Canis lupus familiaris: one gene and its partners. The protein of the gene in region 1 interacts with the protein of each later gene in a pairwise test. Links are inferred from orthologs where the notes say so. Each region holds a gene or a part of one and is shown in the gene's direction. Other genes may lie near its edges.

The links.
Region 2: the proteins of ARR3 (region 1) and GNMT interact in a two-hybrid assay, tested with the Homo sapiens proteins (2 studies listed by BioGRID and IntAct). The two-hybrid records come from large-scale screens. The link is inferred for Canis lupus familiaris from reciprocal best matches to the Homo sapiens genes ARR3 and GNMT.
Region 3: the proteins of ARR3 (region 1) and ZNF496 interact in binary tests that used the Homo sapiens proteins (3 or more experiments, as listed by UniProt). The two-hybrid records come from large-scale screens. The link is inferred for Canis lupus familiaris from reciprocal best matches to the Homo sapiens genes ARR3 and ZNF496.
Region 4: the proteins of ARR3 (region 1) and DVL2 interact in a two-hybrid assay, tested with the Homo sapiens proteins (2 studies listed by BioGRID and IntAct). The two-hybrid records come from large-scale screens. The link is inferred for Canis lupus familiaris from reciprocal best matches to the Homo sapiens genes ARR3 and DVL2.

The regions. Positions count from the first base shown.
Region 1 is NC_049260.1:54,910,159-54,914,213, forward strand, and holds the start of ARR3 (arrestin-C), read left to right. Parts: upstream 1-1,205; coding exon 1,206-1,279; intron 1,280-1,544; coding exon 1,545-1,575; intron 1,576-1,706; coding exon 1,707-1,767; intron 1,768-1,961; coding exon 1,962-2,006; intron 2,007-4,055. UniProt on the Homo sapiens protein: May play a role in an as yet undefined retina-specific signal transduction. Could bind to photoactivated-phosphorylated red/green opsins.
Region 2 is NC_049233.1:11,686,935-11,691,107, forward strand, and holds GNMT (glycine N-methyltransferase), read left to right. Parts: upstream 1-1,364; 5' UTR 1,365-1,400; coding exon 1,401-1,606; intron 1,607-2,370; coding exon 2,371-2,498; intron 2,499-2,925; coding exon 2,926-3,042; intron 3,043-3,250; coding exon 3,251-3,393; intron 3,394-3,501; coding exon 3,502-3,623; intron 3,624-3,706; coding exon 3,707-3,878; 3' UTR 3,879-4,091; downstream 4,092-4,173. UniProt on the Homo sapiens protein: Catalyzes the methylation of glycine by using S-adenosylmethionine (AdoMet) to form N-methylglycine (sarcosine) with the concomitant production of S-adenosylhomocysteine (AdoHcy), a reaction regulated by the binding of 5-methyltetrahydrofolate.
Region 3 is NC_049229.1:261,630-265,194, reverse strand, and holds part of ZNF496 (zinc finger protein 496), read left to right. Parts: intron 1-2,653; coding exon 2,654-2,786; intron 2,787-3,053; coding exon 3,054-3,161; intron 3,162-3,565. UniProt on the Homo sapiens protein: DNA-binding transcription factor that can both act as an activator and a repressor.
Region 4 is NC_049226.1:32,403,213-32,405,816, reverse strand, and holds part of DVL2 (segment polarity protein dishevelled homolog DVL-2), read left to right. Parts: intron 1-59; coding exon 60-205; intron 206-335; coding exon 336-445; intron 446-550; coding exon 551-686; intron 687-819; coding exon 820-910; intron 911-1,040; coding exon 1,041-1,110; intron 1,111-1,196; coding exon 1,197-1,336; intron 1,337-1,413; coding exon 1,414-1,490; intron 1,491-2,031; coding exon 2,032-2,099; intron 2,100-2,229; coding exon 2,230-2,358; intron 2,359-2,449; coding exon 2,450-2,581; intron 2,582-2,604.

The DNA.
Region 1 (4,055 bases):
CTGTAGTTCCCCTTCTCAAGCTCCCCTAACTTTAACACTATCAGATTCAACTCTCTACCTCTATCCTGTCCCAGCAGCAAGAACCTGCTAATCTTTAGCCACTAATCTTTTAGCCTTTAATCTGCTTTCTAAACTCTTGGCACCTGAACTATTTATAAAACAGTGTTTTATGCCCCCCAACTCTACTCTTCTTCTCTGACCCCCACCAATCTAAATATTCAAAGGACCTCAAGTATAAAAGGCTGGAGAGGTAAGCATAGCAACCAGAGCTGGAGACGGATGTGAGCTTCATCTCTCTCCCCAGGTAATAGTCCGAAGTCCTCTATTTCTAACCCATACCAGGTCCCATATACCCTTGCCTTTAGCATCCCCATGAATATATTAAGGAGCATCTGAGGGCATCTTTCATGACACAGCCAGCAGGCACTTGGCCTGAGAGACCCTGTGACAGACCTCTGGAGGCTCCCTGGAGCTCACCCTCAGGCCAGACATGATATATAACAAAGAGAAGCACTAGACAGACATCTCCCTCTCTCTAAGGATCCCTACTCCAAGGCCTTTCACCTGGGGACACAGATAAGGCTAAGAAGGAGAAAATTGGGGGAAGGTGAAGAGAGTGATGAATAGATTCAAGGAAGGCTTTCTAGAGGTTTCTGCCACCAACAACCAAGAGCATGAGGGCTCCAACCCCTTCTCTCCCACACTTTTCTCCTCTCTTAACTGAGAGTTAAAGCCACCGTGAGATGAACTCAGGTTCAGAATCTATTGTAGGACAAAAGCAGACAGAATCCATTTTTTCTTCATTCATTTATTTGCGTATCTAACAAACATGTCTTGACACCTACTGTGTGCCAGGTGGTGTTCAGCCTCATCCAGTCAAATTTTCCTCAAATTGTCTTGATGGAGGGCTCTCTCCAGCCTGCTTTGAGACAAATTCCTTCTCTGTGAAGGTGGTCAAGAGTGTCCCAGCTATTCCAGGAAGCCATGCCATTTCTAGAGAATAGACAGAGTGGTTAGTCAACAATTTGTAAAAATAGGGTTTTTTTCCCCTGTCTGGGATGGGTGAGAGTGTGACTGAATAAGTAACCTTGGCAGGAGGGAGAATATAAGGCACTTGAATGGTAGTGAGGTATCTATTCAACAAGGAAAGGTTACACCACACTAGGTATGTCTGGATTGTATCCTGGAGAAAGAATTGGGACCAAATGACTGAGCCTTCCTCCTTCTTTCCCTCTTCTCAGAAAAGGCTCAACATCAACTTCATGGCTCACATCTCAAGGTAAGTAAGAACTCCTAATTCTCTGAATCTGTGACTTGTCCCCTATCCAAACCCAAGTACCTGCTTTGTGGTAGAGGAGTTTCCAACTTCTCAACTTGTAACTTGAACTCTATCCCAATTACCTCCACCTTTGCACCATTTCATGCTCCTTGAGCCTCTTCTCCTAATCCTAAGAATACTTCCTTTTCTTCTCCACTTCCTTCTTCTCCTCTTCCCTTTTTTCACAATGACCCTCCCTATTTTCTTTCTGATTTTCTCTTTATAGAGTGTATAAGAAGACCTGCTCCAATGGGAAGGTGAGAGAACCTGGCCTAGCCAGGCAAATGAAAGGGCAAAAGGGAGAGGTCTCAAGGGTTTGCCTTGAGGATTCAGGGGAAGCCATTCAAAGATGATTATGATAATAACACGCAAGGTTGTTCCACAACAGCTTGCCATCTACCTGGGGAAACGGGACTTCGTGGACCATGTGGACATGGTGGATCCCATTGGTCAGTGAGTCTAAAAAGGGAAAGAACCTGGGGAGAAGGGAATGGGAGCCAGCAACTAAAAGCCAAGAAAGGAACATACAGAAGAGGAGGCCAATTCAAGGGGAAAATGGGAGGAACTATTTCAGGGATGGATTTCTGTTTCATAGTCTAAGGATTTTTCCTGACCATGGTACCGTCTCTCGCTCTCTACACAGATGGTGTAGTCCTGGTTGACCCCGATTACTTGAAGGGTCGAAAGAGTAAGTAAAAATTCTCTTGGCCTTTGTATGTGCCAGGGATCCCAAACTGAAATGTCACACACGCCAGACAAGTAACTTAAATGAATAGACTAAACGAATGGACCAGAGGGGTAGAAGAAAACCAAAACGTGGTGAGAACTGTGAATGCCTTGTCTGGTGGGAGTTAATAAATGGGAATTTTAGCCTAGTGTGGCCAAATTTTCTGGTTGTTGGACAGGAACTGGAAATGAAGCTCAGAATAAGACCTTCAGAGGCCTAAATTCTGAAAAGATTATGGTACCTCTTCCCCCAAATAATATTCAAAATAGGTTTATTTCTAAAACATAAATAAAATTTTATTTTTCAAAAGTATACAAAATGTATATGTGTGCTGGAATTCAAATAGATTTTTTCTAAGCTTTCTGATTTTCTTTATTATTTTTCATGGTACTCTACTTTGTTGCTGAACTGAATGTGGGCTTAGACTGGCTATGGAAAGATGCAGTATTCCAGAAATCCATATTTTCACGAAAATTTCATGATTTTCAAATGTTGGCAACCAACTAAAAGATTTTTAAAGGTCTAGATAGATCAAAAAATTTACATTTTTCATTAGTCTGGATGTGACCCTTAGACTGACATTTTGCAACCTCTGGTATATATCTTTCTACCTCTTCTGTGTAGGGAAACCCCGTCTTTTCTGGGTGTGTGTGTGGGAAATCCCAAGTAAACAAACAAAGAAAACCATAGCACCAGCAAGTAACAACAAGAGACATTACTCCGGCCACAGCACCATAGATCAAGATTACATTGAAATATTTTTGCACTGCTTTAATAAATTTCTTTTAGTTTGTGATTCAATAAGTTTGAAAGTTGGGTTTGACTTGAAAAAGGCTCAGAATAAATTGATGAATACTAGTTCAAATATAACCTTTAGATACTGTGAGATAAAAATAACCTTATTTTTTCTGACTAAACAGTGTGGATAAGCCATCCAGCCAGTTTTAAATATCAGAGGAATTCTGTGGAATACCCACTAAATTAACCAACTTGAGATTCTCAATTACTCTGTATTTCTAAAAAAACAAAAACAAAAAAACCTAAATCATTTTCTCACATTCCTACAAAATCTTCAGAATAACCTACAGAAAGAAATATTTAGCGTAAAAAAATGCATGTTGATCTGGAATATGTGTTTTCCCTTTTACTCAAATCTTTCTTATGTTCCTAAAAGAATTTTTTTATTATTCGTTTAAGTTGTATATATTTCTTAAGTTTGTTCCTTAGCTATTTTACATGTTTTGCTACTTTTATGAAGATAATTTTGTTTGCATATTTTCTAATATTTTTTTCTATCAAGTTTCATTTATTGATGTAAAATATGCTTATACTATACTACTGAGTGATAAAGGCCAATTGTAGGGCAGTATACGTGGTCCTGTGAAAGATATACTGTTTAACAAAAAACTATATGGGATCTCTCTGTATTATTTCTTACAACTGCTTGTAAATCTACAACAATCTCAAAAAGTCCACTTTCAAATAGGCAATGTCACAAATATCTAAGGTAGCCTGATGTTTAATTATAGACACAAAGCTGAGAAGCAATTGCAAGCGATATGAACAGCAGTAGTTTCTGCAACACGAAGTATGATGACAGAGTTTTGAATCATTTTTTGTTTGTATTTTCTGATTTTCATACAATTACTATGTATTATTTGTATAACAGACACAAATTTAAATTTTTTTGGTCTTTTTTGTATTTTTTTATTGGAGTTCGATTTGCCAACATATAGTATAATACCCAGTGCTCATCCCATCAGGTGCCCCCCTCAGTGCTCATCACCCAGTCACCCCATCCCCCCGCCCACCTCCCTTTCCAGTACCCCTTGTTCGTTTCCCCGAGTTAGGAGTCTCTCATGTTTTGTCACCCTCTCTGATATTTCCCACACATTTTCTCTTGTTTCCCCTATAATCCCTTTCACTATTTTTTATATTCCCCATATGAGTGAAACCATATGATTGTCCTTCTTCAACTGACTTACTTCACTCAGCATAATACCTTCCAGT
Region 2 (4,173 bases), on another chromosome or scaffold:
GAGGGAGAAGCAGGCTCCTCACAGGGAGCCGATGCGAAACTTGACCCTCTGACCTGGAATCACACTCTGAACCAAAGGCAGACCTCAACCGCTGAGCCACCCAAGTGTCCTGATCTCAGGAGTTTTGATATTGGGCTGCTATCAGGCTCTGTGCTGGGCATGGAGCACCCTTGATATTCTCTCTCCCTCTGCCCATCCCCCCTCTAATTTTTTTTTTTTTTTAATCAACTTTTAGGGGCATCTGGCTGGCTCAATAAAGCATGGAATCCTTGATCTCAGGATTGTGAGTTCCATTCCCATGTTTGGTGCAGAGATTACTTAAAATAAAATCTTAAAAAAAAAAATTAAGGGGCAACTGGGTGGCTCAGTCGGTTAAGCAGCTGCCTTCAGCTCAGGCCATGCTCTCGTGGTCCTGGGATCAAGCCCCCAGTGGGTCTCCCCTGCTAAGCAAGGAGCTTGCTTCTCCCTCTCCCTCTCCCTCTGCTCATGCTCTCTTGCTCATTTCATATAGATAAAATCTTTAAAAAAATTTTTTTTAAAGATTTTATTTATTCAGGAGAGGGAGAGAGGCAGAGACACATGCAGAGAGAGAAGCAGGCTCCATGTTTTATCCTGGGTCTCCAGGATCACGCCCTGGGCCAAAGGCGAGCTCTCAACCACTGAGCCACCCAGGCGTCCCAATAAAATCTTATTTAAAAAATAAGATTGATTGATTTTTGGTGGAGATGCTGGATTTCAAACAGGGGCCTCAAACAGCAAAAAGTGCTTAGAAGCATTGCTAGTCGGTAAAGAACTGGGAGGAAAGGTCGGACGTCGCCTTAGAGACTCAGGGAAAAGCTCAGTGCGTCACCTCCAGGCCGGAGGAGCACCTGCCTCCAGGTGGGCAGACGATCCCCTGGACTAGAACTGCTCCTGGACTTGGGTGGCCCCTCCAGCATTCTTATCCCCAGATACGCCCTCTTCCTCCCTTCCAGGCCCTCCTCCAGCCGGACAAGCCTCCTTTAGATATGCTAATACCGTCCGAGCGCTGAGCTCGGCGTGGACTGGGAAGTTTTCTTTCCTTCCTTTGCAGTTTAGGTGGCGGCGGTGGGGTGGGCGGCCTCACCGCTCCCCTCCCCCACGCACACACCGCGGCTGGCCCCTCCGGGTCCTGCGGGGCCCTGGCTCAGTGGGTGGGGCAGGGAGGGCCCTTTGCCGCCGGGTGGTCGCCCAGAGGGCTGGTCTTCCCGCGGGCGAGAAGGGCCTATTCAGACCTCCCGGCCGCGCCCCCGCCCCGAGGCCGCAGCCCGGCAGGGGCGTGTCCCCGCGCTCACCTGCCATTGGGCAGGTGGGGCGGCCGGCCTCGGGCGGGCCGCGCTATAAACGCGGGCGGGCGGCGGCGGAGCCAGGCGCGCCGCAGGATGGTGGACAGCGTGTACCGCACCCGCTCCCTGGGGGTGGCGGCCGAAGGGCTCCCGGACCAGTACGCGGACGGGGAGGCGGCGCGCGTGTGGCAGCTCTACATCGGGGACACCCGCAGCCGCACGGCCGAGTACAAGGCCTGGCTGCTCGGGCTGCTGCGCCAGCACGGCTGCCAACGGGTGCTCGACGTGGCCTGCGGCACCGGGTGAGCGCGGGCCGGGGCCCTGGGGGTGGGGGTGCCGGCCGGGAGGAGGGGCTGGGACAGCCAGCGTGGAGGTGGGGACTCGGGATGCCGACGGCCGGATCCTCCCGGCGGCGCGGCGGCGGCGGCGGCGGCGGCGGCGGCGGCGGCGGCGGCTTGGCTTTGGGACCAGACCGATGTAAGCTCTCCTGGGTGCTGGCTCTGGCACAGCTCCCGAGTCGTGGCCTTGGGCAGTGTTAACAGTTAACAATTCGTTCGATACTTGGCCGTGCCATGCGCTGTGCCAGGAGCTTTGGATACATCCATTTTTAAGGTCTTCAGAAAACCTCAAGATGTATGCAGTGATGTCCCACTTAGAGTTGCTGAAATCCTGCCCCAGAGGGGTGAAGGCCCCTCTACCTAGTGGAGAAGAGATGCTGTACTACTTCCGCGTGCCCAGGTTCCTGAATTCCAGGGACCTCAGTTTGCCTCATCTCTCAAGCGAGGGAAACCCCATGTACCTCACAGGGTTGCCGTGAGGATTAATGCACAATGACGGAGTGCCTGGCTCTGAAGGGATGCTAACAAAACCCCAAAGTTGCTACCTGGTGATAGGGAACCCATTTGCCAGGTCATTTGAGATCAGTGGAGAGGGCCTGGGGAGAGGAAGAAGAGGAATGGAGCCAAGAGTGGAGGAGACAGAAGGGTCCAGCACAGGACCTCCTCCTTGCCTTTCCCAGGCCCCTTGACTGCCCCTCCCTGCCTCTCTCCCCTCTGGCCCTGCCCAGGGTGGACTCCATCATGCTGGTGGAAGAGGGCTTCAGCGTGACCAGTGTGGATGCCAGTGACAAGATGCTGAAGTATGCACTTAAAGAGCGCTGGAACCGGCGGCACGAGCCAGCCTTCGACAAGTGGGGTACGCACGTCCAGGCAGGCCTTCCCCGCCCGGCACCCCAGGGCCCAGTGCTCTTAATTCCTGTGCAAATTCGGGTGTTTGTTTTCCCTAAGGGGACAGCAAAATTACTTTCATTTCCCCAGAAAGGGAGGCTTAGGCACTAGAATGAGGTATCTGGTAATGAGGGGCTAGTTTTGATTATAAGTGTCTTCTCCCAAATAAAACCCAGTAAGCACAGAGCCATTCTTCCCATCACAGCTTCCTCCCCGCCCCCTTGACCCCTCCTCCCCTTCACCTTCCATATCCATAATAATCCCCTCCTCCTAACTGGATGGGGAATCCCCATGTGTCTTGAAGAGGAAACTGAGGCAGGGCTGCACTCGATGGAGAGGGGTACTGCTGGTGCCTCCATGCCACCTCGAGCTCTCCTTCCCCTTCCTGGTCCCAGTCATTGAAGAAGCCAACTGGATGACTCTGGACAAAGATGTGCCCCAGCCACCAGGGGGTGCCTTCGATGCTGTCATCTGCCTTGGAAACAGCTTTGCCCACTTGCCAGACTGCAAAGGTGAGACAGAGTGTACCCTGGAGCCTGGCCCTTTGAGCTATACCTCTTTTCACAGACCCCTGGGTGCCTGCTATCCTGGCCAGAGCAGACTGTTTTCTGCTCCTCCCTGACTTGGCGTCTGTATCCCTGGGGAGGAAAAAGCTGGGAGGGAGACTGGTGCTTGGGGCCCTGAGCGGACGCAGCCTCTTTGCCCTTGCCTGGAGCTCAGGAGATCAGAGTGAGCACCGGCTGGCACTGAAGAACATCGCGAGCATGGTGCGGTCAGGGGGCCTGCTGGTCATTGACCATCGCAACTATGACCACATCCTCAGCACAGGCTGTGCACCCCCAGGAAAGAACATCTACTATAAGGTGAGGGCCCTGGGGGTGGGATGAGAAGCCCAGAATGGGGGATGTGATCCTGGGGTCCAGCCCTGCAGTGGTTGCCAAGGCTAATACAGCCTGCACCACTACCTACAGAGCGACTTGACCAAGGACATCACCACATCAGTGCTGACAGTGAACAACAAGGCCCACATGGTGACCCTGGACTATACAGTGCAGGTGCCAGGGGCTGGTCAGGATGGTTCTCCTGGCTTGAGGTACCCACTGGGCTTGGCAGCGGGTGAAGGGGGGTGGTGCCGAGGCCACCAGTCCTCATGGTTGCTTGGGGGCTCTGTTGCAGTAAGTTCCGGCTGTCCTACTACCCGCACCGTTTGGCTTCCTTCACGGAGTTGCTACGAGCAGCCTTTGGGGGCAAGTGCCAGCACAGCGTCCTGGGTGACTTCAAGCCTTACAAGCCGGGCCAGGCCTCCATTCCTTGCTATTTTATCCATGTGCTCAAGAGGACGGACTGAGCGCTGAACCTGGCCTCAGCTCCTACAACCCTCCAGCCAACATGGCCAGCCAGATCTCTCTGGGGAGGTGGGGACTAGCAGTCCCATACCCGGCCCAGCCCCAGCCCTGCAGATCCTGGGGTGCTGGGAGGGGCAAGACTGCTGTTGTGGGTGCAGGATTTGGGTTTGGGCAAATGGAAGTAGTAGCAATATAGTCTGTGCCTTTTTCAGTTCTGCATGTTTTGTGTTTATATGGGAAGGATCAAGCTCCCGCCACCGTCCCCTCCCTGGCCCTCCCCTGGGGCTTTGTCCTTCC
Region 3 (3,565 bases), on another chromosome or scaffold:
GCATGTCGCCGCGACTGGGGTGGGCCACCTCAGGGCCTCAGCACCCAGCCTGTGGCCATGGAGGCCCTCCAACCTTACTCAGGCTTCCAGGGCTACAGAGGGCTGCCTGCAAGCAGCCTCTGCGTTTCCCTGACAGGTGCACAGCAACAGGACTATGGCATCTGGGTAGGGGTGTTGGCCCCACCCCCTGCTGGATGGGTGGGTTGCGCCATCCCTGCGCAAGCCTGAGCCTGGGGGTGTTCCCTGGTGGCCAGGCCCCTGGGATCGGGGGCAGCAACTGCCTGATGGCCTGGGCTGGACCCCCAGTAGCACCATCATCCGTTTGTGGACTTGTTAGATCCTAGATGAGACCCGTGCACGAACCCCTAAGAGAGAGAGGAGCAGTGATAGGGGAACTGGGATGGAAGGCAGGGACCCCAGGAAAGGAAAGGGTCCCAAGAGCCAGAAGCAGGTTTGTTTCCAGGAAAGTGTCCTGCACTGCACACGTCAGAGGAGGAATATGATTGCGGGTGGGTGGCTGTAGGACCTACGGAACAGACAGGAGTGTGGGGGAGCTGGCTCCCAGGCCTCCACAGGCTCACCCTGGCCCTGCTGCTGCTCAGTCTGGGAACTGAGTCCTTGGGGGGTGAGCAGAAGGCCAGGGACAAGGGGTCCTGACCCCTTAGGTGCCTGCAGCCTACCTGCTCGCCCGCAGACCCCAGACCACCCTGGGGAGAACTGGGGCCGCGGGGAGGAGGAGGAGAGGGAAGGGCAGGCAGGGATACCCCTCAACCTTGTGGGCAGGACTCCCCTGCATGCCAGGTCATCAGGCCCCAGGGCTTGGAAAGTCCCCAGAAGTCCCCAGACAATCAGAGGACAGTCCTGGGGCCAGGGTCCTCTGAAAGTGGGGTGACCCGGTCTGATATGAGACAATGAGATCGGGGGGTGGGGGTGACCCCGGACTGCGGGCTCGTAGACAGGGGTGAAAGGACGGCATCCAGTGCCCAGGAGCGGCCTCTGGCCCATAGTGATGATGCTCACAGAGTCATAATGAGATCTCACTCGTCTTTCCCAAGCATCATCAAACTGAGGACACTGATACAGTTTGTTAGACATTTTTTCATAGTCAAGATGGACTTTCTGTCATATATTTTCTTTTTTGGCTCTGTGGCTTTTTGTTGATGGTCTAGAAGGTTCCAAGGGTCACGGGCCTTCCTTCCATGGACGGCCTAGTTCGTTCCCATTTGTCCAACTTTCATCCACACTCTTTCGTTACATACTCAGTGTTTCCCTGAGCCCGTTATTTTTTTTACATGGTCTTTATTTTTATTTTCTGAAAGCCATTGTTTCCCCCTTTCAGTTAAGGGTTTTTTTGGTTTTGTTTTGTTCTGATTTTTTTTAAGCAAAAATTAAAAAAAAAAAAAAAAGACCCATGAGAAAATAGAAAAATAGACAAAGAAAATAAGCATTTCGAAGTAGACAAAAGCAGGTTGGCCAGTAAACCCCAAGAAGGTTCATGGAGAGCAGGGTCACCCCAGGTTGGAGGCAACCACACGGCCCTGACAAGGAATCTTCCAGAAATGGAGGCAATGAGGCAGATGCAAGGACGTTTGTTTAAAATACCATGAACTCTTTTTCTAAAACCGATGTATATTATACAAATGTCTTACTATTTGGTTAACTCAAGATGGAATTTTACTTTAAATCCTTTGTAATGGGAACACTTTGTGGAGAAATACAACCATTATCAGCTGACATCCAGTGAAAGCTGTACATGGACAATTTGTGCAAATGTCTGTGTCCATCGTGACACTCCTGATACACGTCCTCACTCACATGCCCAGACAAGTATCAGCTGCACCGGCAGCTCTTCCACACTTTAGTTCTCCCAAATTTTGTCTGAGTTACAAGGTTCCAGGTTATTACAAACAAAAGGAATAATTTTTTTAAGATTTTATTTATTTATTCATGAGAGACCCAGAGAGAGAAGCAGAGACATAGGCAGAGGGAGAAGCAGGTTCTGTGCAGGGTGCCTGATGTGGGACTTGATCCCAGGATCCCGGGATCACGACCTGAGCTGAAAGCAGACACTCAACCACTGAGCCACCCAGGTGCCCAAAAGGAATAATTTTTAAATGACATTTATTGTTACCATGAATCCTTCTGTCATGTTACTGTCCATTTGCGGATGACTTCTTTATTTTTGTGGGATCCTGTAATTATATGCAAATACCATCATGTTTCAAGTTAAAATGAACTTCAACACATTCCCATGGCCCATGACTCCCAAGTGTGAGAAAAGAGTCCCCTTCAGCCCTCATGCGGGGGGTGCTCCCAGTGCAGGAGGTGTTTGCCTTCCCTCACCGCAGTGGGGCGCTTGACAGCCTGGCTGCCGGTAGGCGTGGACAACACGTATAGGCTCCCTGTTGGCCCCCCAGGACATGTGGGTGCCCACCACCTGAGCAGCAGTAGGAGGGCCCATGCCTGCGTGTCCCTGGCCGCCCCATGGGGCACCCTGCAGTGTGTGAGGCGGATCTCATGCTAGAACCGGGGAGCCTCCCCGCTCTGTCCTGTGGCTAGTGTCCCCTCTGCACCACAACCCTCCTCCCTACCCCCTCCACCCCAGCCCTGGCTGGCTCTGCCCTGAGGCGTCCCCACTGTGCTGTGCTTTCAGAGCCGCCTGTCGCCCTTCGAGGACATGATCTTCTGCTTCTCACAAGAGGACTGGTCCCTTCTAGATCCTGCTCAGACGGGCTTCTATGGAGAGTTCATCATTGGGGAGGACTGTGGTGTCTCACTGCCTCCAAGTAAGACTTCCATCCTCTGTCCTGAGACCAGGGAGCCAGTGTCACATTGATGTTCACCCCCACCCCAGGGGCACCTCACAGATCAACCACATGTGGTTCAGGCTGGCCTGGCTGGCGAGTGCCTGGTTCCTGGGGAGTCCTGCGGGAGGTACCCCGGCCCCACCTGCTGGCCCCAGCCCCTGCCGACCTGTGTGAGTTCCTGGCCCCCAGCCCTGGTTCCTGGAGCAGCACGTGGCTGATGGACGTGTGTCCCCCATCTGCAAACAGGTGACTCGGCCACCCAGCTGGCACTTTCCCAGGGGGAGGACAGTGAGCCCCAGGTCCCTGAGTTTCAGGACCCCCAGGGGAAGGATGTGGCCCAGGCTTCTTACTTGGGTAAGTACGCTCTCCACGCCCTGCCCTGTCTGCAGCCCCATGTCGCCCCTGCATTCTCGGGCTCCGACATCTCTTGCCAGACAGAAAACGGGATTGCAGTTTTCCCTGGGGATGCGGTTGTGGGTGGGGGGTGGTGATGGTGGTGGTGCACAGCACTGCCCTCACCAGAGACTAGGATGCGACAGGATCCGCCCTCTGTGCTGTAAGCAGCACTGGGCTCAGGCTGACCAGGCGGCCCTGCCTGATTGAGGCCACGTACTCCCCAGAAGGCAGGTGGGGGTTTGTGAGGACACTGAGGCATGGAGAGGAGCAGGGCCTCGTGGGGCTCAGGGCAGGCATCCTCCCCGCTGCTCCCTGCCCCAGGCTCCGTGTCAGCCGAGCTCACTTCTGCAGACCCCGGGCCC
Region 4 (2,604 bases), on another chromosome or scaffold:
TCCCACCTCGGTTGCCTCCCTCCTTGCTTGAGTCAGTTTTTGTCATTGCATCTTTCCAGCTGGTGTCGTCAGAGAACCCCCAACCCGAGATGGCTCCCCCAGCCCACGAGCCCCGGGCAGAGCTGGCACCGCCCCCCCCACCGCTACCCCCCCTGCCACCGGAGAGGACCAGCGGCATCGGGGACTCTAGGCCTCCGTCCTTCCAGTGAGTCTCTGGGATTCTTTAGTCCGGGGGAGGGAGGCAAGGAGGAGACCCCAGACCCTGGGCAGGGGGAGGTTGAGGACACGGAGCCCCGTCCCCCTGACGCGGTCGCATGCCATCTCTGTCCACCTAGCCCTAACGTGTCCAGCAGCCGGGAGAACCTGGAGCCTGAGACGGAAACCGAGTCAGTGGTGTCCCTGCGGCGGGAACGGCCTCGTAGGAGAGACAGCAGTGAGCACGGTGGTGAGGGGGGCCCAGGAGCCCAGGAGCTGGGGGCTGGGCTCAGGCCCCCCTGTGATGGGGGAGGCAGCTTGAGGCCAGGTCCCTGAAGGTTCTATTCTTCCACAGCAGGGGGCCACAGGCCTGGTGGACCCTCGAGGCTGGAGCGCCACCTGGCCGGGTATGAGAGCTCCTCAACCCTTATGACCAGCGAGCTGGAGAGCACTAGCCTGGGGGACTCCGATGAGGATGACACCATGAGCAGGTGTGGCACCCAGCCCTGCACTTCCCAGCGCCACCGGGTGATGTCCTCCAGGCCCAAGCTGGTCTCTGCCTCCCTCCCCCCCCCCCCCCACCTGCTCTGCCAGCCAGCACTCCCCTTCCTCTCCTCCGGACAGATTCAGCAGCTCCACGGAGCAGAGCAGCGCCTCTCGCCTCCTCAAGCGCCACCGGCGGCGGAGGAAACAGCGGCCACCCCGCCTGGAGAGGGTGAGGGGAGCTCACGGGATGGCTGCGTCTTACAGGCGTAGGGAGCCTTGGTCTCAGGGGTATGTGGGCCCAGAAAGTGAGAATCTGGGGTCCTTGGAGGCAACCCAAGCCTTCCCTGTCTCCCCGCTAGGCTTCGTCCTTCAGTAGCGTCACTGACTCCACCATGTCTCTCAACATCATCACAGTCACACTCAACATGGGTACGAGGGGGCCCCGGTTGGGGGTCCAGGGCGGGGGCCCCGGGGAACGCTGGCTGGCTTCCTTGTCATGGGCGCCTGCTCTGCAGAGAAGTACAACTTTCTGGGCATCTCCATCGTGGGCCAGAGCAACGAGCGGGGCGACGGCGGCATCTACATTGGCTCCATCATGAAGGGCGGTGCGGTGGCAGCCGATGGGCGCATCGAGCCGGGTGACATGCTGCTGCAGGTGCCCTGTGGGGGATCTGGGGGGCAGGTACGTCTCACAAGCTCTCACCCACACTCACTCGCCAACCTGGCTTCCAGGTCAACGACATGAATTTCGAGAACATGAGCAACGATGATGCAGTGCGGGTGCTGCGGGACATCGTGCACAAGCCGGGGTGAGCCACCTCTCATCTGCTCTCCTGGTGCCCGTGGCTTCACCCTTAGCATGGGCGTGGTGGTGCGTGTCCAGAGGGGCTGAGCCATAACGTGACATCACCGTGGGGCAGAGGATGGCCCGCATGACCCCCACCTGATCGTGAGCTGGGGGGTTGTGCTCCAGAGTCTGCAGTCCCCTCACCAGTCTCCCTGGCAGGGAGCGCTGCCCTGGTGTCCTTTGTCATCTGTCATCACTGCACTGCTTTGCCTCCCCTCCCCTTGTGTGTGTGTCCATGTGCATGTGTCCGTCCCCATCCTCGATCAGCGGGCTCAGCTTCTGTGACCTGGACTGGCTCTGCATGGACCCATACATAGAGTGTGTGTGGTTCTGTGTTTCAGCCTCATTTCTAGTGTTGTCTGTGTTGGTGGGTCACCCTCACTGATGCCTCCAGGCTCAGCTCTCCAGCCTGGTCTGTCTGTGTCTCTGTCCATCCTTCACCCTCGCAAAGCCTCGCCCCATCCCCCCCGCCCCTGCCTGACTGCGTCTCCCCTTCCCCACAGCCCCATTGTGCTGACTGTGGCCAAGTGCTGGGATCCGTCTCCCCAGGCCTATTTCACTCTTCCTCGAAGTGAGTGCTACAGGGGAGGAGGATGACAGGAAGGGGTGGAGGAGGGTCAGGGCAGAGGTGGGATGGGGGTCGGGGTCTCAGTTGGGGAGTGGCAGGGAAACGATCATTGTGGGGACCTTCTCTGTCCCAGATGAGCCCATCCAGCCGATCGACCCAGCTGCCTGGGTGTCTCACTCGGCTGCACTGACTGGCACCTTCCCCACCTACCCGGGCTCCTCGTCCATGAGCACCATGACATCCGGGTCTTCTCTGCCCGAGGGTGAGCCCCCAGCCCACCTCACCCTCCCCTCCCTGGGAGGCCTTTCAGCAGTGTGTGGCCCGGTCTCTACTCCTCATTTCTTCTCCGATAGGCTGTGAGGGCCGGGGTCTGTCCATTCATACGGACATGGCATCTGTCACCAAGGCCATGGCAGCTCCGGAGTCTGGACTGGAAGTTCGAGACCGCATGTGGCTCAAGATCACCATCCCTAACGCCTTTCTGGGTATGGTTGGGCCCCAGGCAGGT